2 linked regions of the Drosophila melanogaster genome follow. The protein of the gene in region 1 interacts with the protein of each later gene in a pairwise test. Each region holds a gene or a part of one and is shown in the gene's direction. Other genes may lie near its edges. The genes, in order: CG17139 and CG7069.

Region 1 (16,102 bases):
GCGCACTGACCACACTTCAGGCTGGAGAAGTGCGTTCCCAATTCGGTGGGATCCAGACAGCGTTCGCATTGGCAGGTGAAGAACTTGCCCTGCTTCAGGTGCTTCTGTCTCTGGGCAGTGCCATCCAATGTGTAGGTGTAGCTGTGGTGCAGGGGCTGACCCTCCTCCAAGTCCACCATGGCGCGCAGTCGGATTCTTTGGAAGAGAAACAAATATAGGAGGACTTATTTTAGATGTGCAACAGCGGAAATGTAATTCTAGACATCTTGAACTAGAGAACTGAATTTACAAATCTATTTACAACTCACTTGTATCCCTCGCTGGGATAGATGCTCCTGGATGTGTTGGGCACGCAGTTGTGGGCCAGAATGCCGGTATAGGGAAAGAGGCACCTCAGTGGATAGCCCTTCGGGCTGCGCGCCTCGAAGGCGTTCACCTCCAGCACACCCACCACCTGCATGATCAGCTCCTCGCTGAATCGGTTGGCCAGTTGGCAGGGACCGCGCAAATACTGAGCGATATTAACGCGATCCGCATGCCAGACATCCGCGTCCCTTTGGCGCTCCTCCTTGTGGTGCTCCATGGGTGCCACCTCGTTGTCCCATCGCTCCGGATTCGCCTCCTTGGCCAACAGAACTCTGAAAGTAGAAAGTTTAAAAGGGTATTCCAAATGACAATCATATGAAGCACAACAAGTAACCTATTGATTATAATTAGCTACATTAAATTAAAAATCTTTCTCTTTTTTAATTGTTAATGAATCCTTTTGTATATAACTTTCATCTTGAGCGGATAAAATAGTGACGCTATCAGTTTGCCTGGTGCCTGGTGGTCTATTTTTGTTCCACCCGCTGGGCTTCACCTGAGCGGCATAATACAGTCCAATTGCGGACAGTGCCTGCTGCCGCTGGGCAGGCGGAAGAATCGTGCCCGAGCATCCTTCAGCTGGCTGCACTCCAGGCGGAAATGGGCGTTATCCGCTTGTTGGGCGCACTCCACGCACAGCGGCCAGCCACATTCGCTACACAGCTCCTCCTCCGGATCTGGGTTGGGTTCGTAGCAACCCAGGCACACCACCGGTCCATTGCACTTGGGCCCGACGGCAAAGGGCAGCTCCTCGATCAGCAGACCGTGGCCACGGATCGCTCCCTTGGCCACCAGATAGCGTCCGCAGACCGGACTCCACTGAACCGCTGTCCTATTCACCGACAGCGTTGGCGGCGATGTCATTTCGCTGACTGATGCCGGCTGGCCGCACTCAGATCTCAGATCTCATGTCATGGGCACACCCCACAGATGATGCCTCCTCCCCACTACATGACTACATTTCTGCCTGCTCCGACATAAAGCATCAAAATTGCTGGGCACAGTGGGCATGCGAGGTCCTAGGTGAGAAATTTTAGTTTTGAACAAATTGTCTTGAGAAAACATTGTTCAATTTCTATAATAACTAAAATACCTTACATTTTCATAAATTAAATAATTTACTGGTTGTAACTTTTAAGTTGCTTGTAACTTTTAAGTTGCTTGTAACTTTTAAGTTGCTTGGCTTTGTTAGTTCTATTTCTAAGTACTAAGCACCGATCTATTTAAACATGTGCTTAACATTATTTAAATAATAATTCACAGTGCTTACAGTTCAGTTTTGCTACGAAATATATAAAAACATGATGGTACATTGATCATAACGCGCCGCAACTATCATATACCAATTATTCTGTCATAATAATATGTACAAATATGGCTTGTTTCATGCCATAATTTTCTCCTTACTTTCATGCACTTTAAATTTAGCTATTTATTTTTTATTTTCTGTGCGATTTGCTCCACTGTCCCTTTCACAGACTTGTTAATCCATCCGTCCGCCTTCTTTGACGTAGAGTCGCCATGAGAATCTGTATATGCCGGCTAGCCTGCGAACTGCGAGAAATGGGCCGCTGCTGCCAAAACTAATATTCGGACAGACCGCCCAGGTTCCCCTAGTAGCACCCAGTAGCCCCTGCTGTACGGATGTACCCAGCACCATCACCCCCGCCCCGCTGGAGCGCCCGCGAACTAACCTCAATATGGTTATGCAATCCAACTGCGGGCAGACGCCATCATCGCTCACATTCCCGGCGAAAGTGACACGTGCGGCGGAGAAGACCTGGCACTCTCCGCGGTGCTCCGTGACGTCTTCGTCGTCGGCGCACGATCCGCACAGCGGCCAATCGCAGAGTTCGCAGCGGTCCAGCGAATCGCCGTCCTCTCCGAACTGCAGGAACTGGTAGCAGCCCAGGCACACGATTCCGCTGTCGCGCTTCGGTCCGCGTGCGAAGGGCAGCTCCTCCAGCACCAGCTCGCCCCGCTCCACGGAGCTAGAGGTGGCCAAGCAGCGTCCCAGCACGGCGTCCTCCTGCAGACGGGCCTTCAACATTCTGTCGCCGCACGGCAAATGCACTGGTCTCGCTTTTGGCCCATCCGAATGGGATTATGCGGTCGATTGGCGGCCCTGCACGCAGATTCGTCTAAAAATAAAAAGAGCATCGCACACACTTCATTGGTGTCAATCAATAAAGTTGTAATATATTTATTGCATTTTGATTGCTTTGGATTATAACTTTTTTAAAGCCCATTTACTTGTCCACAACTTTAAAGTTTTCGTTTGCAGGAAACCCTTTTATGTAAAAAAAAAACACTTTGATGTAAGTTAATTGTTCTTAAGATAACGAATTTCTTAATAGAATGATTGAATTCTAATTTCAATAATTATTTTAAGTAACCGTTAGTTTTCAAATTTCCGTTACAAAAAGTGTGACCATTGCCATTAAGAGTGACGCAGCGTTACCAGATAGTATATCTGCGGCTTGTTTTAGGGAATAATTATTGGACGAATTTTTAGGGTTGGTAACACTAAGGCACAGAATTACAAAATTTTTTGGTGTACGTTTGTCGTGGTGTCTCTGTTCCTCTGCGTTTCGCATTACACTCTAACCAAACTAAAACTCATCAAAAGTAAGTAGCTCAGGAGTAAACCCCCTCAAAATTCAGTGAAATGTGATGGATACCCCTATGGGTAGAAGGAAAATCAGGATTTTCGGTGCCAGTGATTTCATAACCTCGAAATGAAAAAATTGCAAGTAGACACGCGCATGAACGAAAAGCAAAAGGGCTGAGCACTTTTTTGTTGGATGACGATGGGCGAGCTTCTTATCACCAAATCACGCAATAATTAATTGATAAATCCGAAATTTAAAGGGGATATTAAGCCGGTTAGCTGTCACACACACATCCACACATGAACAGTCCACGCACACCAATGCCTTCGCAGTTCATTGGCAGCAGCTGCCGGCGAAAAAAGGGGGCAAAGAAGCAGAGAGATCGATGGAAAAGTGCCTGGCGAATTTCCGTTACGTAACGCATGTCGCATCAATTCCGTTCGTTATCGTCATGTTGCCATCCACCAGCGTGCAGCTCGCTCAATAAACATTTTCGATTTCACTCTTTACCGTTCTTTATCGTCGTTTTGTTTGTTTGTGGTCATGTGAGGAGGTGGGTGCACTTCGCGATTGTGGGTGGTATTTTCGCAGTGACGTCACCTGGAAAATCAATAGACCACCTTTTCGGGCAGCTATTCACTTAGCTTTCCACTTTCCCTCATCGATTTCCCTGCTGTTATGCAACTGTCGAAAAAATGAGCTGCACATCCACCCAACCACCCCCTTTATAATCTGCTTGTCAAGGTCATCGTCAACGAGATGCTGATTCATTTTCACCGGGACATCCACCTGATAGTATTATTTTCAGCATCTAGTGACCAGGTTATATCACCTGACTTCCGGAACAATAAGAGCCCATCCCATTTAACGTTTGGCTGCCGGCCATAAAGATTTTTGTCTGCTGGCCGCTGCTTTTCATAATTTTCTGCCTTGATTGCCTTGAGTTTCCCCCCACCAATCCCCCCGAACACAACATGAAATATTTATATTGTTATATCTATATAATAATTTCAATTAGATGTTTTGGGTTATTTTTGTTTGATTTTTTTTATGCTCAATATCGGATAGAAATTTATTTATCCGCGACTAATATTCCTACCGCGACTGTGAGTCGCATTCCTGACGTCACGCAAATAGAAACAGCGAAGCAGTGACCACAGCAGACGTTGCAAATGTGCAGTTAGCTTCTGAGTCAATGATCGCTAGCCTAACGGGACTGAACTGACCAGCAATTAATGCCAGCAAGAACGGAACGTAAACATAGAGAGAGGCAAACCTGTGGCCAGATAAATAGGGAAAATCTCAGTATTTTTATTAAAATTTTAGTTTAAAAAACCTATAAAAATATTTGAAAAATAAATTTTGATTTAAATGGTTTTGCATTGGTATAGAAAACCCTTAATTTCTTGGAGTAAAATAGACTTAGTCACTATTTGTTTTCTATCTTCGCTTCTATTTTTTGCGCCACTTTATTTTGCCCAGACGTGCATTGACCCCCTCCTCAGTCACTCAGAATTTTCGCTGCTTCAGTTGGTGATTCTTTGCATGTGGCCGCCTTGAACACTAATCTAAATTGATTTCTTTATTTTCGCCGCACAAAATTGACATTTAGCCAAAGTGAAAATGGGGAAAAAGCCCTCGAAATTCTTGGGACATGTTGATGCTGTTTTTTGGCGTCTTTTAGTTTTCACTTTTCATTTGCGGCCGATAGAACATTTTGAAATCAAGTCGAGCAAAAAGTAATAATCATTATGTTGCTGATAAGATTAAACTTATCGTTCGCTAAACGCAATTAATGACCTGGCGAGTGAAATGATTTCGCAATAAGTATCATCGTCATGATTATCGATTATTCACCAACTAATTGAAGGTGCGATTTAATGCATTCCATTTCAATCCATTCCAGATGGCTCCTCCATCATACAGCGATTTGGGCAAACAGGCTCGCGACATCTTCAGCAAAGGCTACAACTTTGGCCTGTGGAAGCTCGATCTGAAGACTAAGACCTCGTCGGGCATTGAGTTCAACACAGCCGGACACTCCAACCAGGAGTCTGGAAAGGTCTTCGGCTCCCTGGAGACCAAGTACAAGGTCAAGGACTACGGCCTGACCCTCACCGAGAAGTGGAACACAGACAACACGCTGTTCACCGAGGTTGCTGTCCAGGATCAGCTCCTCGAGGGTCTGAAGCTGTCCCTGGAGGGCAACTTTGCTCCTCAGTCTGGGTAAGGATCACATGTTATTACATATATGTTCACTGCAGAATAATTAATATTGCATATTTAATTAAAAATCGTCAGAAACAAGAACGGCAAGTTCAAGGTTGCCTACGGCCATGAGAACGTCAAGGCCGATTCGGATGTGAACATTGATCTGAAGGGCCCCTTGATCAATGCCTCTGCCGTGCTTGGCTACCAGGGATGGTTGGCCGGCTACCAGACCGCATTTGACACACAACAGTCCAAGCTGACCACCAACAACTTTGCCCTTGGCTACACCACCAAGGACTTTGTTCTGCACACAGCTGTGTAAGTATTGCAATTGCCACGCATGGCAAATGAAATCAATGCAAACTAATGATTGCCTTGTCCGGTGTTTAGCAACGATGGCCAGGAGTTCAGCGGCTCGATCTTCCAACGCACTTCGGACAAGCTGGATGTGGGTGTACAGCTGTCGTGGGCCAGCGGCACCAGCAACACCAAGTTCGCCATCGGCGCCAAGTATCAGCTGGATGATGATGCCAGCGTGCGCGCTAAGGTGAACAACGCCAGCCAGGTGGGTCTGGGCTACCAGCAGAAGTTGCGCGACGGAGTCACCCTGACCCTGTCCACGCTGGTCGATGGCAAGAACTTCAATGCCGGCGGCCACAAGATCGGTGTGGGTCTGGAGCTGGAGGCCTAAGTCCGTGGTTTTCCGCTAGTCGTGAAATCCTTGAACGTTGTCTAACATCCCCACACGCCCAACAACAACAACAACAACAATAACAGCAGCCAGACAAGTGCAGAAACAACAACAAGATCAAACAAAATAAAAGATACGATATTCTTTAAAAACAAACAACACACAGTCAAATATAAAGAGAATCTGCACATCTTAGCGATTCGATTGGATTGGATTAGTTGTCAGCCGGCCATCACCACATCCGCCCATTCCCTGCCCCAGCCACGCGAATCTGCAGGAGAGACACTGCCAAACAAACGATGCAGGGGGATGGATGGGTGGTGCAATCGATGGGTCGGTCAGGTCAGTCCGTCGTCGTTGGATGTAGCTTTGATTAGTGCATTGAATATTAGCGAAATTGTTGTTGACAAAAGTGCAGTAAAAATACATTTACCTATTAAACGAAAAAAAAAAACAAAATGGAAAAGACGGAATATTATGGCTCAAAAGGCATTGCATTTTTTTCAGTTCTCAAGGCTTTACGGATTGCCTGCAAAATCCTGCGGCGAAACTAGGACACACATAACACCAAAATCACATCCTTAATAACAATCTTTACCTTTTCGTTGTGCATTTACCTGAGAAATAAATCGAGAAGAAATAAATTATCTTGATTGCAGCGTTGGTGGTGGAAGGCTTGGGAATGGTTAGCTTAATTTAAGGATTTAAGCTTGAAAGAAAAAACTGTATAATAAGATAAGTACCTTATACTGATCCCAAGTTCTTTGTGCTTGAAAAACTTAACTTTTTCGGTTGGGCACAGGACTCCGTGCGTTTTAGTTCACAGGTCTCCAGCGTGTATAAAACTCGATACTGATCAGGCAGCGTTAGACATAAATTTTCGGCTAATCGAGGCTGTTGAAAAGTAGACAAAAAATTTCGAAATTAGTCGGGCCATATATACCATACCACCTATTCATACAGCCCGTAATGGCCGCCAAAACACCGACATACCCAGATCTGGGCAAGCTGGCCCGCGATCTCTTCAAGCGCGGCTACCATCCGGGCATCTGGCAGATCGACTGCAAGACCCTGACCAATTCGGGGATTGAGTTCTTCACCACCGGCTTCGCCAGCCAGGACAACAGCAAGGTGACCGGCTCGCTTCAGAGCAAGTACAAGATCGAGGACCAAGGCCTGACCCTAACCGAGCGATGGAACACGGAGAACTGGCTCTTCGGTGAGATTATGCACCGGGATAAGTTGGCACAGGGCCTGATGTTGGCCGTCGAGGCCAAGTTTCAGCCGGGATCAAAGTGCGTATTCCTTTGGGGATCGTTTAGGTAGCATCCTTTAATTATATAAACATCTCGGGTCAACAGTGAGGCGGATGGCAAGTTCAAGATGGGCTATGCCCAGGACAACTTTAACTTCCTGGCCGACATTGGACTGAACTCGGAGCCGATACTCAACTGTTCGCTGGTTGTGGGCCACAAGGAGTTCCTCGGCGGCGTGGGCACCGAATTTGACGTTGGCAACACCGAACTCAAGGGCTGGAAGGTGGCCCTTGGTTGGACAAATGAAACTGCCACCCTCCATGGCGAGCTGTAAGTTCCCCGTGTGACGAGATGTGGGAAGACTTTATCTTATGTCTTTTAATCAATTTGCAGGAAGAACGGCGACACCTGGTTGGCCTCGCTGTTCTACAAGGCGAGCGAGAAGATCGATGCCGGTATCGAGGTAACCAAGGGAGCCGGCGGCGGCGAAGCTGCCGAGGGTGAACAGCAGGGCGGAGATGTGGTCGTCAATCTGGGCATGATCTACCACTTGGAGGAGGATGCCCTCGTACGCGCCAAGGTCAACAACCTGGTGGAGCTGGGCCTGGGCTATGAACAGAAACTGCGCGACGGCATCACCGCCTCCATATCCGCCGTGCTGGATTGCAACAACTTTAAGGACGGAAACCATCGGTTCGGCGTGGGAATTGCCCTCCAGTGCTAAAATGACTGCCAATCACTTAACGATTTCAATTTCTAAATTTATTTTTAAGTTTATCTTTATTCAAATGACAAATATATTTTGTTCTTCATAATGGCAATATAACAATCTGAGTAATTAATTAAGCAGCTTAAATACAGGCTGTAAAATATTACAAATTAAAAGTAAATAATCTTGTTAATTTTGATCACAGCTGCTTCGATATTATTATCCAATTTCCAAAGAACTCCAAAATTTCAAGTGTGTTTAATTAAATTTTTCTTTTAATTATTGTACTTTTTATATGGCACAATGCCCATGAGAGAACGGATACGGAACTTGTTCAGAAGGAACAAGCGAAAGCGGGCTGCATCGGATTACCTGGAACCCCACGATGAAGGTGGTGGCAATGTCCAGGACAACCGGAGTGCAGAAGAAGATAAGGAGGAGAACAAGGTGGAGATGCTGCCGCCACCACCGATGGAGGGTGAGATGCCCAGCTATTTCCACGTTGGTCTGCTGGCCAAGATGTGCCTCATCCACGGCTACACCATTGGCCGCTGGAAGCTGCAGTGCACCTCGAAAACCGAAAAGGATTTCTATTTGAGCAGCTTCGGCGAGGGTTATCCAACATGGAACACTGTCTACGGCGGACTGGAGGCGTACAAGGAGAGTGGAAACTTTCATGCATCCCTCGCCTGGTTGTCGGATGGAGACTTGCTATCGGATCTTGGAGTGCATGGTGATGGGCTGGGCGGCACATGGTCCACTGTATTGAAGTCTATGGTCAGCTACCCTGAAGGGTAAGTGGGATTCGAATTTGCTGGAAGGGATTCAAGAGATTATCTTTCGTAAGTACATATTATTCTTTACAGACGCAAGTTTCAATGCAAGCTGAAGTGTGGATTCGATCGCAATCCTGGCAAAGTGGAAATGTATATTCCCATCTATAAGGAACCCTTATTGATGGGCTACATTATGATGCAGCCTGTCAAGAATTACCTCTTGGGCTACCGCACGGTGTTCAATGTGGAGGATAGGGACTTCAATATGCATGCTTTTTGCGGAGGATATAGTAACGATGTCACAGAAGTCGGACTGAAATTGTAGGTTACAACCAACATCCTCCAACCCGCAAAAAACTACATTTATATATTTCAGTGAGAATTTCAAGGCGCTGCGAGGATCAATATTCCAGCGCATTGGTGAAAAGTGGGCAGTGGCTTTGAAGGCCAACCTGTATGGAAACGTGAGTGCCAAGAGTGTCTCCATTGGAGGTCAGTACGAGTGGGAACCTGGAAGCATGCTGAAGGCCAAAGTGCGTGGAGATTCCCGCATCGGGCTTATCTTTCAGAAAAAACTTCGCGAAGACATCGAAGTTCTGTTCCACGTTGGCTTCGAAGGAAGTGATCCCATCAATGGGAAGCACAAGTTCGGCTCATCATGGTACTTCAATATGTAGGATGGCTAGCAAACATACGTTTGTATTCATTTCTATGTCATGATGGGGAGAAACTGAAAAACAAATCAGAAGTTTATGTTTCCGGTGTCAGATCGTTTAATCAAAATTTTAAATTTATACCTATTTATTTTTGCTATTTTTTTAAAGTATTTTCAAAATGACAAATATGAAGCAACGGCTGCGCAACTTGTTTCGCCGGAACAAAATGCGCGCACGGCCCACTACAGTGGCCAGTGATGCGAATAAGGAGCAGCCGGAGCCACCTAAGCAGGAGCCAAGCAAACAGAAGAAAACTAAGCAGGATGCCTCCAAGCAGGAGCCACCTAAGCAGGAAGAGCCCGAAAAGCCACCCAAGGAAGTCGAAGTGGAGATAATACCCTCGCCAACGTCAGAGGGCGAAATGCCCACCTACTTCCATGTGGGCGCCTTGGCGAAGGATTGCCTCATCAATGGCTTCAAGATCGGCGCATGGCAGATGCACTGCAGCACGCGAACCGATAATGACTTCTATCTGAACACCTTCGGCGAGGGCTATCCCACCATGAAGAACGTATTTGGCGGCATGGAGGTGTTCAAGGAAGTGGGCAACTACAGCACGTCCCTCGGCTGGTTCACCAACAATGATCTTCTCTCGGAGATCGCTGTGCGCGGCATGAACTTTGGCAGTCGATTGTATGGACTGCTCAAGTCAACAATTGGCACAAAAGACGAGTGAGTGTCCTCCATTTTTTCAGAATTTTCTTAACAGCATTAAAAACTATGCAAATTAAACCCTGAAGAGTGAGCTTTCAAACGAAGCTGAAGTGCGGGTTGGAGCGCGATCCCGTGAAGGTGGAACTGGTGGTGCCTCTGTACAACGAACCCCTATTTCTGGGCTATGTCCTGGTGGCGCCTGTAGAGAATTGGGTGCTGGGATATCGAACGGAGTACAACTTTGACGAAAAGGGATTCGATAAGCACGCCCTGTGCCTGGGCTACAATAATGGGAGGACCGAAGTGGGTCTAAAACTGTAGGTTGTCCAATAGCTTATTTAATATAGCCAACATCCCATTATATTTTACTTGTAGCGAGAATTTCGAGGATCTTCGAGGCTCGATCTTCCAAAGGATCGGCGAAGCCTGGGCCTTTGCCATCAAGACGAATCTCTACAGTTCGGAAAATGTGAAACAGTTTGCCATTGGGGTTCAGTACGACTTCCAGAATGGCACCATGGTGAAGGCCAAGCTGCGGGAGGACTCCAGAATGGGGTTCGTCTACCAATCAAAGATTGGGGAGAACATCGATGTTGGCTATCACTTGGCCTTCGATGGAGTAGATCCCATTGGTGGAGCCCATAGGATTGGCGTTTCCTGGGGTTTTCACTGTTGAAAAGAATGGTTTACTATGTACTATGATTTTACTATACATGATTAATATAAATAAATAATTTGTATACAAAGTGTTTTTCTAACTTATCTGATCATGATTTTGGTGGTTTCCGTAAGTAAACTAAGTAAAACTTATTTTTAATTAATGGAATCTGAATACTGCAGCGTATTGTACCTTATATTTTAATGTTTTATTGTTCTACAACAGTCTTAATATTAAAAATCGATTTGAAATTAACGACAATTCCATTTTTAATTACATCGTAAATCCTTAAATCGTACATAGATACTTAGATTTTTTATTTTTTTAAATCCACGTCCAAAAAACGAAGAAATAAATAAATAGAAAACGTTCACATGTTCCATATTCCACAATTCCTCCGCTATTATGGCGCGCATCTTTTAAATTATAGGAATGGATTTTCGGCTCAGCAAGCTACGGCCACACTAGCACTGCGACATATCTAGTCATCGATTATTCTGTCTCCTTTTCTTTATACGAAAAAATAGTTCAACTGTTCGGACGTGTTTATATATCGTGAGAAAATAAGGCAAAAAATAGCGTATTCCGAGTGTTTTCGTGCGTATGCAGATATATTTTTGCACTGCGCCACCTTTTTAATAAGTTATTTTGGAGAAAACGGCGTTTCAAACGAGCAAATCGAAGCAAAAAGTGCCAGTTCTCGGTGACCAAGAAGTAGGTAAGAAATAAAAATGGCGTCACATGCCAACATTCACACACACACCCATACACACAGACTAATGCGCACATTTTTCCCATTTTTGGTACCCTTTGTCATGAAATCAGGGGCCGAAATCGCAAAAACCCAAAGGTAAGTTCAGGTAAAAAAGAAATTAGCAAAGAACCAAGAGAGGCAGATTGTGGGAGTACCATGTCAGATGCCATGAGTGCTCCGCCGCCCCTTATTCCGCAGCTGCAGGAGATGCAGCAACAGCAGCAGCAGAGCGCTAATCCCGCCCAGCTCGCCCAGCAGTGGAGCAATTACGCCTGGTATGCCAACCAAAATGCTGCTTACCAGCAGCAGTATCAGCAGTACTACCAGTACTACGTACGCTACCAGCAGCAGCAGCAACAGCAGGTAACCTCGACGGTCAGTACGTCAAATGCGCCGCCGGGCTTCAGCAATGCGTTGGCTGCACCGCCGCCTCTGCCCTCAGGGCCGCCCCCTCCGCCTCCGCCGCAAATAGGTCAGCCACCTGGCCAAAACAAACAACAACAACAACAACAACAGCAACAACAATTACAACAACAACAGCAGCAACAACAACAACAGCAGCAGCAGCAGCAAAAAAATTTCGGGGGAATACGTTTTAATTTGAATTTAAACCAAAAGCGTTTGGCCGGTGCTCCTAATCCCCTGCAGCAACAACAACAGCAGCAGCATCAACAACAACAACATCAACAACAGCAACAGGTCATGCAATTGTACAATAACAACAACAGCAACAAAAAGAAGCGCAAGCGGAATAACAAAAACAAGAACTTTGAGCAATCAACATACAGCAATCCGTTTGCCAATCAAACCCCAGCCACACCCCAAGCTCCACCGCCGCCCATCATTAGCGCCAGCGATGTAGGTGTACCAATTAATCCGGACTTGAGCAAACCACCACCTCCATTACCCCTGGCCATTGTGGCACCCACAGAGAATCCCCAACACCAGAAGCAGCAGCAGCAGGAGCACATGGCAGCACAAAGAGCGGGAGAGGCTACATCCCAAACATCAAATTTTAAGCGGCCAAACAGTTTTCAAATGGCTTCAAGCGACTCCTGGCCGAATTCCCTCAACCAATATGTTGCTCGTTGCTATTCAAAGTGCAACACTGATCTGGATAAGGATCAGATCGACATATGTCTGAAAGGCAAGATTATAGCGGCGGCCAATCGCAACGAGCTGTGGACACGCGATTGGGATAACGAGCCCATGCCGACGGTGTACAGCGAGAGAGACGGCATTGATGTGGTGCTAAGCAATGTGCCACCGCCGCAGCAGCAGCGAAGCAACTACTTTCAGAAGAAGCAAGAACAGGAGAGGGAGCGAGAGAGAGACCGCGAAGCGGATAAGTCACCTGCCAAAGGTTCCACGGGTATAGTGAATCAGTTCAAGCAGAAGGGCAATCAGTTCAACAAGGCCTCGTCCAGCTACGGTTCTCATCACTCTTCGTCGTCCAAGTACTCCAGGAGTCGGTCGCGGTGAGTTTTATGATCTCTATTGATCGAATTGAAACTGTGTCATAAACCAGGATGTTTATATCGTTCGCAGGTCGCCGTCATCTTCAAACTCGTTAAAGTACTCGAGCAAGAAGCGGTACTCGCGTTCGCGCTCTCGTTCGCGTTCCCGTTCGCGATCCCCCCGCTCCCGATCGTGTTCCCGCAGTAGCGATGCCAGCAGTCCACCGGCGCGTAAGATTATTCGCAAATCGGGCTCGAACGAATCTCTGAATTTCATACCACTCACCGCGAATTTATCCCGCAAGCAGCAAAAAATGCTGATGAAGAAGGGCAAGCGCGCAGCTGCTATGGCCTCAGCACAGATGAAAAAAAAGGACACACCTCACTTTTACTCCAATCAGTCGTCTGTTGGCGGTGCCGTTGATGATGACACAGCGCGCTTGCAACAGCGTGCGGCACGATTCTCACAGCAGGGCTCCAGCTCGGCCAAAAAATCGGTCGTCGCCATTGCAAGCTCACCGTTTGGTCTCACCACGGCCAAGAACAAGAAGAAAATGGTGCAGCAACACCAGCAGCACCAACGGTCAGCTTTCTACGAAGACACAGAGGCGGCTAGCGGTATAGATCTTCTCGATTTACACATTGTAGGAACTTGTAGGGATCTAGAAAAGTCATTTTTGCGTCTTACAAAGGCGCCGTCTCCGTCAGAGGTGCGACCTGTCGAGGTGCTCACCCATTCGCTTGTTAATGTGAAAGGAAAATGGCGTGCCAATCAGGATTATCACTACGCGTGTGATCAGCTTAAGTCCATAAGGCAGGATTTGACTGTAAGTATGCGCCGAGTAAAGATATGAAATAGTGTTAACACAAATGTACTCACAGGTCCAGGGTATTCGTGATCAGTTTACGGTTGAGGTGTACGAGACACACGCACGCATTGCCATGGAGAAGGGTGACCACGAGGAGTTCAATCAGTGCCAGACGCAACTTAAGATGCTGTACATGGAGATCGGTGGTAAAAACGCCAATGCCCTCGAGTTCACCGCCTATCGCATACTCTACTACATTTTCACAAAGAATACTCTGGGTATGGTTGACTTTGTTTCATATATTTTCGATTAAAATTAACACAGCTTATGGTTTCCAGACATCACCACTGTCATGCGTTCGATTACGGCTGATCAACGTGAAAATCCTGTCATTGCGCACGCTCTTCAGTTCCGATCTGCGTGGTCGCTGGGCAACTACTGCAAATTGTTTTCCCTGTACAGGACGGCGCCTCTTATGTCCGGCCACATGATTGAATGGTTCCTGGAGAGAGAGCGCAAAGCTGCATTGCGAGTCATTATTAAGTCGTAAGTATATTATATCCACTAAATTTTAATTATTAGTAATAATAATCATTTGTTTCTTTTCAGTTATCGTCCTAACATTAGCGTTGACTATATTACCAAAATTCTGGCTTTCGATAGCTCAGAAAAGTGCAAGGAATGGCTCGACACTTTCAGTTTGCCATATGCCGCCGATGGTGCGCAAGTTGATTGCAAAAATGCAGCTGCTATTGCTATTTGAATCACACTTCATATAGAGCAGACTAGCTGGCATGAAGCCCTATTCGATTTTGTACCTGATTTCCGAGCTTTTCGGATGTTAGTGTCCTTTTTCGGACTGCGGATGCAACTCTCTTGGCCCTGTTTAAAAATTTGTGTATATATTTCTCTAGATCGCGATTCCCTTTCGTTACAAAGTTAGGACTTGAATTACTCCCATTCTTAGGCTGAAGTCTTCGCTTATTTAGGACCAACTGTTCTTCGTAGGGTTTAAAGTTTTTAGATGGAAAATAATTCAACGAAAAATGATATAGAATGCATCACAGGAAACATTGAAAACAATGTTGAAGATTTGCTCTGGAGTAGCCTTGGATTTTAGAAGGCGTACATTATTATCGATGATGCCATACTCTGGAAATGACATTACATGGAAGGATTCATATGGATTAAATTCAACATGGATTCAGCGACGAATACCTTTTTCCAGGATTAACAAAGGTGGAAAAATGTATGCCGTCTGAAATAATTTTAACATTGGACCTTATCATTTGGCGCGGTGTGCTGAAAATTTGTGACAGCGTTGGTCTTCATTACCTCTTTAAAAACTCAACCATCTTTGTATACTTTTTTTGTATACCACCAAAATCGAGCAAGATCCGCAAATCAAAACTCGTCTGAATTCAACAGCAACCTGAAACCTTAAGTGCGTGACCTTTCAATGAATATATTATTCAGGTCAAGAATTAAGTGAATCAATTCCAAATAGGGTTGCGACCCTCTTGAATAACAACCTTACTAAATATGAACTTTATCAAAACTAACACATGCAGATAAACAAAATCAGAAGCGATCACGGAACCCGAAAAGCCCGTAGGCTTTGGGCAGAGAAAGCATTTTTGTTTTTTTGTCGTTATTTTACTCATTTATACACCGTATGATCACTTCATTTTTAAACTAGTTTTAAGCTTAGGCTTAATGATTGTTGTCTTATTTAAATTATTGAAAAGGATTATACTAATGTTCTGTCTCTCTATTGTATACCTGTATATATATACAACCATCAAATCCACCACCACCACGAACTACAACTGCAACGAGATCCAGCCTGCATGCAAAATTATCGGAAGTTCAAACTCAACGTTTTGGAGTATGGCAAATTCAACCTGGTCTTCCCCGTCGCCACTAAACATCCGTGAAGGCATTCAACAAGTCATCAAATATGCACGACATTTGTAAGCTCTTCCAATTTTAATTCGCTTTACTAAAGCAGATTGTATACAAAAAGTTGGACACTTCGGGGTACCACATAAGTAATTGGCTAAGAATCTGTAATCAGTGTTTTTTTTTTTATTTTTATTAGAGGGAGTGTGATTAGAATCCTAACTATTATATTAAACAGTAATTATATAAAAGGCTAGGATTATAGGTATATTTTTAGGCTAAGCTTAACTGTTAATATATTTTTAATTTTCTTGAATGTTGGAAAACTATTGAAAAGAATTCAAGATTTCAAAAGCTCCCCTATCTATGGATGCAAACAATGGCATCCCGATTGCATGAAATGGGAGTGCTATTATCCCGCTTTTAACAATAAACGCCACAAAACAAAGCAACTGGTGTTTTCCTCTTGGTGAAATTTCCCTTTCAGCACAAGGTCGTTATTCCAACAATCCTCTTCCAGCTGCTGACGAA
Region 2 (15,907 bases), on another chromosome or scaffold:
TCGGGGTTCCTAAGGCGGCGGAGGAATTGCACTTGGCGGCCTTGGGACAGCTATCGCATAATAACGCCTCAATAAAATTAAATTTTATTTCGTTTCGCAGCTTTTGTCGGAATTTTCGAGTTTTCATTCACATATTCAACAGCCACGTATCTGTTCATGCGTTCCGGGCGATTGGCAACCAGCTGACATATTCTGCGAATATCGTAGCGATGAATGATGAAATACGATATGTGTTTGCGATTTAAAAAATCGGTTTCAAATTTTCCTTTTTTTTATGGTAACCATAACATTTAAGAGTTAATAATGTTTGTGCTACAAAAAGCTTAATAAACAATAAGTTCAATTTGTAATACTTAATATAAAATAAAATCCAGAGTTTTCGAGCTAATCCCTAATCCAACCAATCTCGCATATATTCACAAGTTATAGCAGTTACATCGCCACAATTGGAGCAGTTTTTGATGACGGGACAAATGCCACATGGCATCTGGACCAGACCAGTCGGAGGAAGTGGGGCGTTCACCGCCCGGTAGACGAAGGATCCATCCTGCTGGCGCACTCGCTCCGCATTGCCGTCGTACACCACTGTTTTGAGAATTGTTTCCAGATCGGCCTCCGCCAGATTAACCTTGCTGATGCCCAAGTCCGAGATGAACTTCTGAACCTCGTTCACCGTGCAGCAAGACATCTGCTTGAAGGCCAGTGGCCCCTCGCGCTTCTTTTCCGCACTGTCGCGTTTCATTTGCAGAAAGCGCAGGCACTGCTGGTTGAGCACATCCACAAACTCCACCTCAAAGTCCTGATCCTGGTACCAGGCTCCTCCCGTAATGGAGAGATCCGGCTCTAGGTTGTACAGCATGTACACTTTCTTTTTGCTGGCCTGCGCGAAGAAAATTTGGAATCACATTGAACTTGGAATATGGGATCATAGAACCTACGTTCACCGACTTGACCGCCTTGATGAGCTTCTTGGTTTCTAGGTTCTTGAGGATCTTGTTGAGCTGTATCATGTTCAGGTTGGACTTCATACGTATATCCCTAATCCAGATGCCTTTGTTGCCGCCCTCCTCAACAATGCCGTAGACGACCTTCTCCTCATTGTCCGCATCCTTGGGCAGGGCACTCTTCTTTTCCGGGTCCTTGGCACGGTACACCAGCTTTTCACCCTTCTTCAGGATCTCGATCCCGCCCTCCTGCAGCAGTATATTCAAAGCTTCCACCCGCGTGGCCGCCGGCACATCGGGCAGCGCCTTGGTCAGGTCATCGTTGGTGGCACCGGCTGGGATGCCCTGGACCACCGCCAGCAAAAGTTGCGACACCTCAGTGGCCATTTTTCTATTCTCGAAAATTTGTTATTTAAAATTCAATTAAATCGAGAAAAACAACACGCTTACCGTGAAAAGCAAAACAAAAACAAACGGTTCCGGGCGAATGGCTACCGCTGCTAAGAAGAAGCTAAAAAATAACAAAAATCACAAACCAATTTTAAAAATATAAGTTTGTTCTATTAAAAATAATACTTTACGCAACTGAATAAATGAGGATAAATAAGGAGCATATGTTTTAGGCTTTATTACAAATTGCTTTAAATAAAATTTAAAGCTTTCCGAAGACCCCAAATGTTATATCGTGAATCTGGTATGTATATACCAAATGGTATTTATTTTAAAAACGAGTGGCTTTTTTAGGCTCATTGGTGCCAACTGTTTTTTCGAACAGATCGCCGGACGCACTGTTTCTGATTGGAGTGTTCGCTGCCTGTGCATTTAAATTGAATTAAAATAATTCCAAAACAGGAAGAGCAAATACATCTTTCCGCGAGTTCACCTTTACTGTCAAAAACAGGTAATTATCAGATCTTCTTGATACGACCTCAAGCTAAACATCATTCCATTATAATACGCTAGAAATTTTGCTAACGAAATTGGCGGGGGCAAGACATTTGTTTTTGCTGTTGTTGATGATGCAAGCAATTTCTCCACATTATGTAGAATTGCGTTTGCCGCCTCACAAAACACATACACACAAGCACGGCTGCGAATTCAATTCGCACACCCATACAATCTCAAAAGAACCTCGTTAGCGAAATGTGTAAAGGTGAAATAGAAGTCATTCCATGCGGAGCGCGCCACAAGTAAAATAACCTACACCATCGCAATCACACCCTATTAAACATGCCATCGGAAATAATGCAGCAATAATAATCTTGAACCGCTGTAAACTTCCACTATCGCAATTGTTTAATTGCTCTGTGACGACGACGCTTTCAGCGATGATGAGTAATTTTGCATAAATTTGCTCTGTGCCGGATTGTCTGAATTATATTTGAAATTTTGTTGCTGTTTCGGCGTCTCAGTGATAAGCATTTGTTGTTGCAGACCCGAGCTTCAAAATGTTAACGGCGCTAACGTCCTTTATCCACAAGTTCAAGGTTAAATAGTACGGCACATAGTACTCATTACATATTGACTGAAGCCTGGAAAAGCACTTTCACTTTCAGAACTTTTCTCGTGCGTTTTCCGGCGACAAAAGCTGCAGGCCGGCGAGCTTTACTTGCACGGTTTCTGCGCGTGTCACTCACGATGAGCGAAAGAGAGAGCGGAAGATAAAAGGAAAGTAGATGCTCACGCACTTGCATAATGGCAGTGCGAGCGAGACGAAGCTGTTTTCTGTGGAGGAGATTAGGTTGTCAAGGTCAGCACAGTGGAATTCTAGGTGGAAGTGGGACAGTTGGACAGTGGGCTCTTTTCCGCGTTGCTTTTTTTCTGTATTGCCAGCTGATAAGCGCCGTCTAACAGCTGATGATCGGTTTTTTGTTTACCACGCACACACATACTGACATCACGTGTCCATATAATCATATATACACATACTTCTGTACAATGCAAATTTATATGCAAAAATTAATAATCGTAATGGATCGTTGAACCTTCTGTTCTATCCGATTGCCGGCCAGCCTAGCAACGGAGCTTTGCGCCAGTTAACTTCGGAGCTTCCTTTTTGGATAAACTTTTCGCATCCCCTTACGCGAAGGGAGTTAGGGTATGTTGGCACAATAGCATATCTTGATCCTGCTAAACACTTTACTTATACTTAAATATCGAATGATAATTTGAGCCTCTATCTTTTCCATTTGATAATATCTTTATTAATTTTTATATGCAGTATTGTAAGATTAAGGTTATATTTCACTCGGAATTATATTGGGAATAGCGGTAAGGCCACTTGGTCGACTGAGCAGCTGGCAGTCCCTGGTCGAGCATACCCTTGAATATACCCTTCTTGCTCGCTCACCAATGTTGTCTCTTTAGGGGTGGCCTGTTGCGTCCGCCTCTTGCCTCTTGGGCCCAAACTCTCTCTCCTCTGCGTTTATGCTCTCTTTGCTGTCGGGCTACCGACATTCTGAGCGCTTTTTCTGCGGCTAGGAAAATTTCCGCTTGCCAAAAAATCTGTGTGGCAGTCGAACTTTTTGTCTCGTCCTCGCCGCGTCCGATTTTCCATATATCCCGATTTTCGTCTCAAACTTGGAAGATATATTGCCAAAATATTGCATTCGGCTAGCCGCTGCGTTGTGTGTGTTGTTGTGCGTGGAGTTGCGTGTGCAGTTGCAAGAAGATATAGTCGTCTATATCGTCAGACCGATCTCGATCCCAAGTGCGATTCCCGTTGGTTACATACTACCCGTTCGGTAGGCAACAAAATGGTGAACGTAACCATCTACGATGAGGCACCGCAGCTGAAGGTAGGCCAATGTCACGGTAATGGAAGCCCCCAGAGTTGGTCCATAAAGATATTCATAATCGCCATAATCAGTTGGCTGGCGAGTTGGCCCGATATCAGAGTCATTGGGGAGGAAAATGTGGGAAAAGACAATTATGCAACTGCAGCTGAGAAAATTCTGTCGGTCGCGGTCGGCAGAACTGACCTTCGGCGGTGCAGATGTGCAGCGCTGCCGGTGTCGGCTTCGCTGCACACTTTTCTTCCGCCTGCTGCTTTCTCTCTGCCACTCTCTCTTCCGCTCTGCCTTTCTCAGGTCCTCTCTACGGGGGACACCCCTAACCACCCACGCCCATCCACTCAAGCACTTCAAGTACACGCACTTTGTTTACATCAGCGAATTCTGCAGCGACAGCTTTGCGTTTTTCAAAACATAACATGCACAGTGCGAATAAATATTTTGATAATTTAAGCAATCGTAAGAGTTAACAAATAGTATTTAACGCAACAGCATCATTTAATATTGGTAATCGATTATAACATTTTATATGTCAAGTTTTATCAATGGCTTATTTACACATGCTACTAAGTACCATCAGAATGATAAAATACTGTTAATATATAACGTTATCATTTTAATTAGGATTATTAGATTATTTAAAATCATTACCTTTATATGTAAATAGCTCTATTTTATCTGTCAGTTCACAAATATTTCAATCATTCCTTTTGGTCATGAAAAATGATTGGTGCGGCGAGCATTTGGGCTTAAATCGCCGTATTTGGCCCGTTTGGTTCTATTTATAAGCCGGTGGTAAACATTTAATTTGGTCGATAAAAACTGTATCGATTTATATTCGTTGATATGAAGAAGGGTTATCATGAGTTTTGCACGCATTCGCCACGTTTATGTTGGGGTCCTAAATGTGTTTCGCATTGCATGACTTCACCAGGGCATGATTTTAATATCATAAAACTAGTTGGTTTTTTTATTTTTTGCTAGAACTTGGTAGTTTTTAAAACGCGTAGGGTTTCTTGTTGCTAGGAAGAGACTTCTGATTATTAGCGTAAATTGGAAATAAATGCTTAAAATCAATAAACACGACTTTAACCTGTTTTATTGCAAAAGTTGGCAATCAGCGTGTTGATTTCTAAAAATAAAGAATCAATTCGCGCTGTTTATAAATATGAAGAGAAATGAAAACAAACAGAATTAAGTATAGTTTTCATTTTGCAGCCCAACGAAGTACCCCAAAACATGGCCGCAGGAGCTGATACCCAACTGGAGCACATGTGCCGTCTGCAGTTCGACTCGCCAGTGCCCCATGTGCGTCTGTCCGGAATCGTGTGCACCATCGGACCTGCCTCCAGCAGCGTGGAGATGCTGGAGAAGATGATGGCCACCGGCATGAACATCGCGCGCATGAACTTCTCTCACGGATCGCACGAGTACCATGCCGCCACCGTGGCCAATGTGCGCCAGGCGGTGAAGAACTACTCGGCCAAGCTGGGCTACGAACACCCCGTGGCCATTGCCCTGGACACCAAGGGGCCCGAGATCCGTACCGGTCTGATCGGAGGCAGCGGCACCGCCGAGATTGAGCTGAAGAAGGGCGAGAAGATCAAGCTGACCACCAACAAGGAATTCCTGGAGAAGGGCTCTCTGGAGATTGTGTACGTGGACTACGAGAACATTGTCAATGTGGTGAAGCCCGGCAACCGGGTGTTCGTCGATGACGGTCTGATCTCACTGATTGTCCGCGAGGTAGGCAAGGATTCCCTCACCTGCGAGGTGGAGAACGGCGGCTCTCTGGGTTCCCGCAAGGGTGTGAACCTGCCAGGCGTGCCCGTCGATCTGCCTGCCGTCTCCGAGAAGGATAAGAGCGATCTGCTGTTCGGTGTGGAGCAGGAAGTGGACATGATCTTTGCTTCGTTCATCCGCAACGCCGCTGCTTTGACCGAGATCCGTAAGGTTCTTGGCGAGAAGGGCAAGAACATCAAGATCATTTCCAAGATCGAGAACCAGCAGGGCATGCACAACCTGGACGAGATCATCGAGGCCGGTGATGGCATTATGGTGGCCCGTGGAGATCTGGGTATTGAGATTCCCGCCGAGAAGGTGTTCCTCGCCCAGAAGGCCATGATTGCCCGCTGCAACAAGGCTGGCAAGCCTGTGATCTGCGCCACTCAGATGTTGGAGTCAATGGTGAAGAAGCCACGTCCCACTCGCGCTGAGATCTCTGATGTGGCCAACGCTGTGCTCGATGGTGCTGATTGCGTCATGTTGTCTGGTGAGACCGCCAAGGGCGAGTACCCGCTGGAGTGCGTCCTGACCATGGCCAAGACCTGCAAGGAGGCCGAGGCTGCCCTCTGGCACCAGAACCTCTTTAACGACTTGGTTCGCGGCGCTGGTACCATCGATGCCTCTCACGCGGCTGCCATCGCTGCCGTTGAGGCTGCCACCAAGGCCAAGGCCTCCGCCATCGTGGTGATCACCACCAGCGGCAAGTCGGCCTTCCAGGTGAGCAAGTACCGCCCACGCTGCCCCATCATCGCGGTCACCCGTTTCGCGCAGACCGCCCGACAGGCCCATCTCTACCGTGGACTGGTGCCACTCATCTACAAGGGTAGGTTTTTGTTTCTCCAGGTCGTTCTTTAAATTATAACTCTGGCTTGTACTTGCAGAGCCCGGTCTTGGTGACTGGCTGAAGGACGTGGACGTGCGCGTGCAGTTCGGTCTGCAGGTCGGAAAGAAGAACGGCTTCATCAAGACCGGCGATTCCGTCGTGGTGGTTACCGGCTGGAAGCAGGGCTCCGGCTTCACCAACACCATCCGCATTGTGTAAGTTTAAATTCTAGCATGTAGATATATATGTATCTGTGCAAAAATTATATCAACAAAACTAACGCAATTATCTATCATTTCAGCACCGTCGAATAAATTCTGCCGCTCAGGAAGTACCTGGATGCGTCGCAGCTGCCGCGGGCGTCGCGTTGATTACTGTTAATAACCAAGTTAATTTATTAATTACACAATATTCGGAATATTGGAAACTGCAGGAGGCTGCTGGAACCGCTGTCAGAAGCGCCGAAGGCCGGCCCGGGCCTCAAACAGACACACAAATATACTATACCATTGTTGAATAATAGAGATTTCTTCGAAAATTATAATAAAGTCATCACTGTATTTATGTACGTATGGAAAGTAATGTGCCATTTTCTCCTTATACTTGGAACCTTTGGGTATTAGGTCTGCATGTACGAGATCCACATCCAGTTCCCTATAGGCAATTGATTTTATTCGTTTTTGACAGGTAACACTACATTTTATTTTTGTTTCGGTGTATCAAAATTTATTCAAAATTCATCCATACGCAAGAATCCTTAGTCCAGGGTCCACAGTGCCCATATGTTCCACTTGCCTGTTAAACCTAAGATATCGCTGCTATGCCAGCAAATGCAAGAAAGAGAAGGTAGGACGTTGTTACGTTGGGAGTCAATCATCCGCTTATGAATTCTTTCCAGAAACCACCGAAGTTCCGACTGGACCGCGGACCATTCGCCTCCCAGTTGGATTACCAGTCGCGACTGCAGTACCAAGCACCTGCCCTGAGTATCCCCCTCAGCAGCATCATATGCACCATTGGACCCTCATCCAACAGCCCAGAAAAGCTATTGGAGCTCATCCGGGCTGGGATGCGGGTCGTGCGTATGAACTTCTCTCACGGCTCTCACGAGTATCACTGCCAGACAATACAGGCGGCTCGTAAGGCCATCGCCATGTACGTGGAGCAAACGGGTCTGCCCAGAACATTGGCAATTGCTCTGGACACCAAGGGTCCAGAGATCCGGACGGGCAAACTGGCCGGTGGCAATGATAGGGCTGAGATAGAGCTCAAGACCGGAGACAAAGTGACATTGAGCACCAAGAAGGAGATGGCAGACAAGAGTAACAAGGATAATATCTATGTGGATTATCAGAGGCTACCTCAACTGGTCAAACCAGGAAATCGGGTATTTGTAGACGACGGATTGATTGCATTGATCGTGAAGGAATCAAAGGGAGATGAAGTGATCTGTCAGGTGGAGAACGGTGGCAAGCTGGGCTCCCACAAGGGAATCAATTTGCCAGGAGTTCCGGTAGATCTTCCCAGCGTAACGGAGAAGGATAAGCAGGATCTTAAATTTGGGGCCGAGCAAAAGGTGGACATGATCTTCGCATCGTTCATACGAGACGCAAATGCTCTGAAGGAAATCCGCCAAGTACTTGGACCGGCTGGAGCGTGTATAAAGATCATCTCTAAGATTGAAAACCACCAAGGTCTGGTAAACATAGACGACATTATCCGTGAATCAGATGGCATAATGGTGGCCCGAGGTGATATGGGCATTGAGATACCCACGGAGGATGTTCCCCTAGCCCAGAAATCGATTGTGGCTAAGTGCAACAAGGTGGGCAAGCCTGTGATCTGTGCCACCCAGATGATGGAGTCGATGACGAACAAGCCGCGACCCACTCGTGCCGAAGCCTCGGATGTGGCCAACGCTATTTTCGATGGCTGCGATGCCGTAATGCTGTCCGGTGAAACGGCCAAGGGCAAGTATCCGGTGGAGTGCGTCCAGTGCATGGCCAGGATCTGTGCCAAAGTAGAAGCAGTTCTATGGTACGAAAGCCTGCAGAACAGCCTTAAAAGGGAAATCCGGACCAGTGCTGCCGACCACATTTCGGCAGTTACCACGGCGATCGCGGAGGCGGCCACGGTGGGCCAAGCCCGGGCAATTGTGGTGGCCAGTCCGTGCTCCATGGTGGCCCAAATGGTCAGTCACATGAGGCCGCCATGTCCAATTGTCATGCTCACGGGTAACGAATCCGAGGCGGCCCAGTCTCTGCTCTTTCGCGGCATCTACCCACTCCTCGTTGAGGAAATGGTTATTGGCAGCTTTAACTTTCGACGCATCATGCAGTCGGGCCTGAAGCTGATGGGCAAGATGGACATCTTGGAGCCGGGTCAGAAAGGATCGGTGGTGCTGGTTAATGCCATGTCGGCAGAAAAGATCACCTTCCGGCTGTTCACTATCCGTCAGCAGACCAAGGAAGAACGCGATCAGGATGAGCGATGCCGAAAATTGGCCCTAGAGCAGAGCTGCAAGGAGAGGGCTGAAAAGGAGGAATGCAGAAAGCTCCAGCAAGCGGAAGAATGTCAGAAGCAAAAACTGGCCAAAAAATGTAAACAGTTCGAAGAGAAGCAAAAGGTCTGCCCCAAAAAGAATGATACTCCGAAGAATGATTGTCCGAAGAAAGATTGTCCGAAGAAAGAATGTCCCAAGCAAGATGACGAAATCTCAAAGTGCAGGCAAATGCAAGAAGCGGAAGCTGAAGAAAGGAAGTGCAAAGAAGAGTTTGAACAGATGTGCAAATTAGCTGAAGAAAAAAGGAAAGAAGCTGAAAAATGCAGGAAAGCGGACGAAGAACGAAGGAAAGAGGAAGCTGAAAAGTGCAGGAAATTGGAAGAAGATAGGAAATGCAAATTGGCTGAAGAGAAGAAAAGGAATGAAGAAGAACTTAAGATAATAGAAGCAGAAGTGGCCAAACTGGAAGCTGCTGAGAAGGCCAAGCGTTTGAAGGAGGAAGAGAAAAAGAAGGAAGAACTAATGAAGTGCAAGCAACGAAATGAAGCGAAAAAAAAGAGGGAAGAGGCTGAAAGGTGCAAGAGAAAGGAAAGAGAAAGGGAGCTAGCTGAAATGGAAAACAAATGGAAACAGGTTGCGGAGAAAAGAAAGAGAAAGAAGGCAGCAGAGATGTGCAGGAAAATAGAGGATGCAAAAGAAAAAGCCGCGGCAGAATCGGCTGATAAGATTCTGAAAGCTGTGTGCGAAAAACTAAAGCAATCTCTCTCGGATCCGGACAAATCAAAAAAGGGCAAGAAATAAAGTGAAAGCTAATGGCAGATTTATATGGAACATTTTAACTTTTAATACGGTGTTACACACCGAATTCCAAATTATTATATAAAACTATTGGAATTTTTTAAATTTTCTAGTAAAACAATGTAAAGAACGCTATTGTCGAGTTATTTGACTATAGGCGCGAACGGAAAATTTTCAAATTTGGGCATATCGATAAATATTGGAAAATACACATTTGCTTATCGGTTCTTTGAAAAGTAATAATTTCATACCTGCTAACCAAATTAAACTATGTCATTATGCACGTTCACACCTCCACTGATAAGATCGAAGTCATTGTAATCATTGGACATCACCTCTAAAAGTCATATTTTATAGAGTCAACTTTTCGAAATTAATCGCCTACAATTGATTTCACCACATGATGAAGATAATGAAATATTCGATATTAATCGTATGCAAGTGATTTCACCACATGATGAGGAATGGCGAAATTCTAATTCTCCCAGCTGCTTGATGTTGACAGTATTTAAACCAAACAAAGGGTTAGTTTAGAGGGTTCTTCATCGCGAGAAAAAGGTACTACCATGTCATTGCCCACGACCAGAGCCACCACGGCCACGACCACTCACGCTGTGGTCCAGGCTGTGGAAACGTATATTCAGAACCAGAATTTGCTTGGCGAGATCGCTGAGCTGGACGACATGCTGTACGATTTGGTGTCCATGCACAAAGACAACGAGCTGGCCCTGAAGCGTGTGCTGCAGTGCATCCACAACCTGTTGCAGACGAACAGCAAGTATAACGTCCGCTTTGGCCCAAAAGTTTTTCACAAACTGGTCTCCGTGGTGATTGCCGACAGTCGTGAGGATTCGGCCAGCCGGCGTCAACTGGTGGCCAATTTACTGGTCTGCGTGCAGCTTCATATACGGAAGTTTCCGCGTATCGAAGCCAAGTTCGTGCTGCAGCAGCTCTGGTCGCTGAGTCAGAGCAATGAGCGGCAACCACATGCGGCCCAGATCCTGGTACACCTTTTCGATGATTTCGTCAACAACTTGGGAACGGAATGCGCCCAGGAACTGCTTGTGCTAACGCGGAATCTTCTACAGTCTGATGTGCGCGATGATCGACGCTCAGCGTATTTTCTTATGCACAAGCTGCAGGAGATCGACGAAGTGCTTGCCGCTCTCCAGTGCAGTGAGGTTCAGTGGAGCGCGTATGTGGGCATCATGGAGAACCTCGAGGAGCAGCAGTCCCATCTTGTGCTGCCCACTTTAAGCACCCTGCTGCCGCGCATGGGCCTGATGTCTAACAATTTGAGTGAGGATTGGCTGGATTGGCTAAGGATTCTGTGCATACGCCTCCTGGGCGACAACAACATCCTCGTGTTGCGCTGGACCCTGAAGTACTTCCTATCCCATTTTAGCCTAGAACAGATATCGCGTTTCAATCTTCTAACACAATTCCTTGCTGCTACCAATCGGACGCAATTGTACAATCCAGAGGTGCCCGATTGCCTCACTAAGCAGCAAATAACTGATTTTAGTGCACAATTCCCGGCAGAGATATTGCTGGAAGCGCTTGTCTGCGTTCCGTGGCATGCAGTTCCCCTGATCCACTGGCTTCAAGCATGGGAGCTAAAGCAGCTGCCGGTGGTTTCCAAGGAGCTGCTGTTTAAGTTGGGCGCTCGCGTTCGTTCCCTCCAAAATCCGGTTTTGCGTGGTGAAGCCATCAATTATGTGATTTTCTCCTTAAGTGTAAGTTTAACTTATATAGAAGTTTTAACAATTTTTTGACTTTAATCCCATTAAAGGCGACGATTGACAGCCTGTCATTGGGAGATTACCTCCTCTTCATGGAGTCTTTGTACAATACCATCGACCGGTATCAATCTCATTCACAACTAGCACAGAAAATAAGAAATTGCAGCAATTTAGAAAAACATATTGCTAGTTTCAACATTCGTTGCTGTGAACTTGTATCTCAAATGGACTATAAACACGATGTATTTGTTGCGTTCTTGGAGAAATTACGAACAGTTCCAAAATCCAAACATGGCTGGTGGCGACTTTTACCCATATTTCTGCATCGGGAACTGGATCATCCAGAACAGTATTTAGATTTCTATCGCTCTGTCTATGATTTAGATACATCTTTTCTTGAAAGTGGTGTGAGTCTAGAGCAGATGCAGCAGCACCTTCTTAATCGATTGGATTGCCAGACCAGAGAAGAGAAGTCCTTTGTGCTCGAGCACTCTGTGGATCTTTTCGTACAGATAAATCTTCCAACGTGGAGCAAGTTAGAAGTACTTAACCTAAATCCCCTGGAACTTTTGGATCGGGGTACTGAAGAAACATTTGCCACCTTGTCGAATATATTGTCCACGCATGATGAACAATTGGCTGACCAAAATGTATTGCCCGCCTTTATATCCCGTTTGGGAAAACTAAAGGTCAGGGAAACGTGAGTAATATATTCGCTATATTTTTGTAAGTCAAGTTATTAATTCATTGATTCCCAGACAAGCCATCCTAAAATATGCAGTGCAAAATCTTTCGTCAGAAGAGTATGAAAAGTGCGTAGTGGACGTTTTGGAGAAAAACACCTTTCTTTTGGGTACAATGGACTGTGAAGAATATATTAAGGCACCCACCTCGTTTGTTATAAAAAGAATGCTGCAGGGAGAAACCACTACTGGCGATGCACGGCAAGAGAATAAATATTTTTTTCGTGAAATTACTATATACAACGTTAATAATAACTCCGCAGCATTGAACGCGCATTTGAGCAAATCTCGGATACTGGAGCCATGGATCGTGTGCAATTTATTCAATATGCGAAGAACAGCACTGGTTTGGATATCAGCTTCATCTGTGACGATTTGCTTAGAATGAACAATGAGCTGTCCAGAAAAAAACCACGCTATTTTGCAAACTGCAAAGAGCACAGAATGAAAATGCGAATAGGCAAAGCTTTGCTCGACCTAAGCGACAGATGGAAGTGGTCGGACAACCTGTGGGAAGCCGTCTTGTGCCCTAGCGATCAGCCTAACATTAGCTTTATGTACGAGTACCTTGTCTCCAAAATGCTGCCAAGCATCGATCTATTGCTGGAGCAGTTAAAGCTACTGGCAACTCTAAAACCGAGCCAGCAAATTTCGCTTGTCTCTGTAGTCCACATATACTGCTTGACTCGCTGGGAAAGCATACAACATGAACAGCTTGTCGAAGTATTTGCCGTCCTGTTGCCTCTCACAATGGGAGCAAATTTTCAGACTCGTTTGCTGGCCCAATTGGTTTTGCATCGGATTTGTAGCGAGTGCGAGGATCGAAGGTAATGAAATTAGTATTATATACTACTTGTTGCCGAATTTTATTAATATTTTGATATTTTTAGCATTCAAATGCCAATAGCTGATGCATTGAAGAAATCCATCAAGGTTACATTGAGCGAAAAATTAACTGAGTTTCAGTGCGAAGCTCGACTTTTGTTACCAGAACTAGGCAAACAATGCCCGACATCCGTTTCGGATTGCATTCTGATGATGACGAATGCACCATTTGATGAAAACATCAGTTTTATTAGTTGTTCCTATGACTTTCGAATGAAACTAAAGCGCGCCCTTGAAACGTTTAAACGGAAACAATCGGTTTTGATACCTGAGCTTGCAACGTCCTTGGCTGCATTAAACGGAAATGTGCAGCGAAAAATGAATCCCGTCGGAGATATATATCCGGAGAGTGACTTTGTTGTTTCGAACAAAGCTAGAGATGACCACGAACTCATTGTGGTGGCCTCGCTCATAGACAAATTGCCAAATCTGGGCGGATTGGCGCGTACCTGTGAAGTTCTGGGCGTTAATACCCTAATATTGGGTTTAAAATCACAGGCGGAGAAAAGCGATTTTACAAACTTGAGGTATGCACGTCAAACATCGCGGTAGCCCTATTATATTGCTTTATATAATTATAATTATATTATTTTAGCATGACTGCTGAGAAAACTTTAAACATACTTGAAGTGAATCCAGAATCGCTTGCTGGATTTCTGCTGGAAAAGCAAATGGAGGGTTATAAAATCGTTGGCGCCGAGCAAACTGCACACAGCACAAACTTTGTTGACTTTAAGTTTCCCAAGAAAAGCATTCTTCTTTTGGGGTTCGTAATCAACATCTTGGGCGTATTTTTTGAAAACTTATTGTTCTGCATCCCTCCTCAGGCATGAAAAACATGGAATACCAGCGAACCTTATTGGATTCTTGGACTACGCCGTCGAAATTCCCCAGTATGGCTTAGTGCGCTCTCTAAATGTACATGTGGCTGGATCACTATTTATTTGGGAATATTGTAAGCAGCACTTAAATTAAATTCATAATTTGACCACCAACAAATGCCTTTAACAAATAAAGTAAATACCTAAAAATATTGTACAAATGTTACTATATAAATGTTTTGTGTTGTATATATCTTAAAAAAAATACACCCAAAATAAATTACCTATATAAACTTAATTGTACTAGCTATTAGTATTATTTCTATTTTTTTAAATGTGTTTGTTTGCCTTCGGTGAATTAATCGAAGTAAATATAATTCATTCTCTTAAAGTTTCGCGCCTTGTTATCGATAACCAGTATTTACCGATGACGCTTGCCTGAAACAGCTGATCCTATAATCACAACATCACAACAAACCCATTGTAAACAACTTCGAAAAGACGAAAATGAGCTTCTCGGAAAACACCTCCGATTCTGAATGGTAAGTCCTTGAGGCCGGAAACTCTCAAATTCTATACGAATGCTTCGCTTATAGGAAGACAGACAAAATGCTAAAGGCGCGGACTGCTAAGAAATCTTTAAAGCTGGACAAGGAGCACAGAACTCTGAAACCTAAATATAACCAGAAGTTCTGCGAAAAGTGGCTCAAGATTTTCGATCCATGGCTCCGACGGGCGGCCGAGGATCCTAACAAGCCATTCTGCCGCGCTTGCCAGTGCACCATGGACTGCAATCGATGCCACCTGGTGCGGCACGAGCGAACCACCAAGCACAAGCGCAATCTGGAGGCTCTGCTCACAAAGGGCGAAGGCGCGGCGGTCCAGGAGTTCCGGATTCGCCAGCAGCGTAGCAAGTACTATCACCAGCGTAAATTGGTAGTGATGGAGCCCTTGGCTGAGAACCACGAGTTGGAGCCGCCTTCCACTCCAGAGCCTATGCCCGTGATGGCCATTGCTGATCAAAGCCTCTGTTCTGCAGCCAGTGAGAAGGTGACAGTACCCAAACAGGAGTTCTTATCAGAGACAGAGGTCACAACAAAGATGACCGAACCCCCGTCAAGCCATGCCAATTGCAGTGACAGCTCCTCTTCTGCCTCTAAGCAGGAGGGCATAAAGTTACTAATGCAGATCCACCAGGACAAAAACGAACTCATGGAATCCTTCCGCGAGCTGATGGGAAGCCAGAGGACCCTAAGTCACACACCGCCGCCCAAGGAGAAGAATCATGTGGATCTGTTTTTCGAAAGCGTCAGTTCCAGCGTGAAAGCCCTCTCGCCAAAGTTGGTAGCGGAAGCCAAGATGCGAGTATCGCAGCTGATCTGTGAGCTCGAGCTTCGCGGCCTCAGTGAAACCAGCCAAACGGACGCACTGAATCCAAACCCTCAAGCTAATGAATCGCTCGCACTGCGCCCATCATGACAATCCCTTGTCCTTCAGCATGAATTTAGAGGCATACATTAATTTTAAATTTAAAAATAAATGTTATCGATTTTTATAAGATCAATGCAAATATACTTTATTTGTTAGATATACGAATCAAACTATTCAAAATAGGTGCGAGAAATGGTATCGGACTGTTTATCGATAGGCTAGAGGCTACTGCTACTGCCATCTCCAAAGCGCGGCTGTGTTTTCTTCCAATGTTTATTAAATTTGAAGCAGCTAATGCAATTTAAAGGCTTAAGTGACAAAATATTCATAACATAAGAATGTGGAACACTTCAAATGTGTATGATGAAACGACCTCTGAAAATGGCGACAACGAAGAGCAGAAAGCTTCATACATTAAAGAAGATCATATAGAGGTATAATTACTAAGTTGCCCTTAAATTTACAAATATTTAAACGAAATTATGCATTTGCAGACCGAGAGGAAAAGTTTGCTACTCATCAAACGGAACAACGTAGCCCTACAGAAAAGACAGCTACCCTACTCAAGGCCAACGCCGCAGAACCGCCAGGAACTTGTCGAGAGCATCGAACAAGACCGTAAAGTGCTGTCGGCGTACTT

The links.
Region 2: the proteins of CG17139 (region 1) and CG7069 interact in a two-hybrid assay, tested with the Drosophila melanogaster proteins (one large-scale study listed by BioGRID).

Annotation. Positions count from the first base shown.
Region 1 is NT_033779.5:10,837,646-10,853,747, reverse strand, and holds CG17139 (uncharacterized protein), read left to right. Parts: upstream 1-8,083; 5' UTR 8,084-8,148; coding exon 8,149-8,639; intron 8,640-8,711; coding exon 8,712-8,942; intron 8,943-8,997; coding exon 8,998-9,298; 3' UTR 9,299-9,455; coding exon of another isoform or gene 9,456-10,009; intron 10,010-10,077; coding exon of another isoform or gene 10,078-10,308; intron 10,309-10,366; coding exon of another isoform or gene 10,367-10,667; 3' UTR 10,668-10,734; downstream 10,735-16,102. Other genes in the region: SmydA-3 (SET and MYND domain containing, arthropod-specific, member 3), read right to left, coding at 1-195, 309-638, 863-1,230; porin, read left to right, coding at 4,885-5,204, 5,280-5,507, 5,580-5,880; Porin2, read left to right, coding at 6,850-7,175, 7,242-7,466, 7,530-7,860; CG17140 (uncharacterized protein), read left to right, coding at 9,456-10,009, 10,078-10,308, 10,367-10,667; CG6700 (uncharacterized protein), read left to right, coding at 11,560-12,881, 12,952-13,687, 13,743-13,947, 14,008-14,215, 14,279-14,432.
Region 2 is NT_033777.3:22,365,824-22,381,730, forward strand, and holds CG7069 (uncharacterized protein), read left to right. Parts: upstream 1-7,011; 5' UTR 7,012-7,190; intron 7,191-7,242; 5' UTR 7,243-7,413; coding exon 7,414-9,648; 3' UTR 9,649-9,756; downstream 9,757-15,907. Other genes in the region: Polr3F (RNA polymerase III subunit F), read right to left, coding at 392-880, 939-1,331; PyK (pyruvate kinase), read left to right, coding at 3,701-3,742, 4,955-6,344, 6,403-6,559, 6,646-6,658; CG18596 (uncharacterized protein), read left to right, coding at 10,212-11,381, 11,438-12,087, 12,146-12,331, 12,394-12,957, 13,021-13,542, 13,611-13,781, 13,843-13,990; CG34149 (uncharacterized protein), read left to right, coding at 14,344-14,378, 14,433-15,315; CG43342 (uncharacterized protein), read left to right, coding at 15,606-15,701, 15,762-15,907.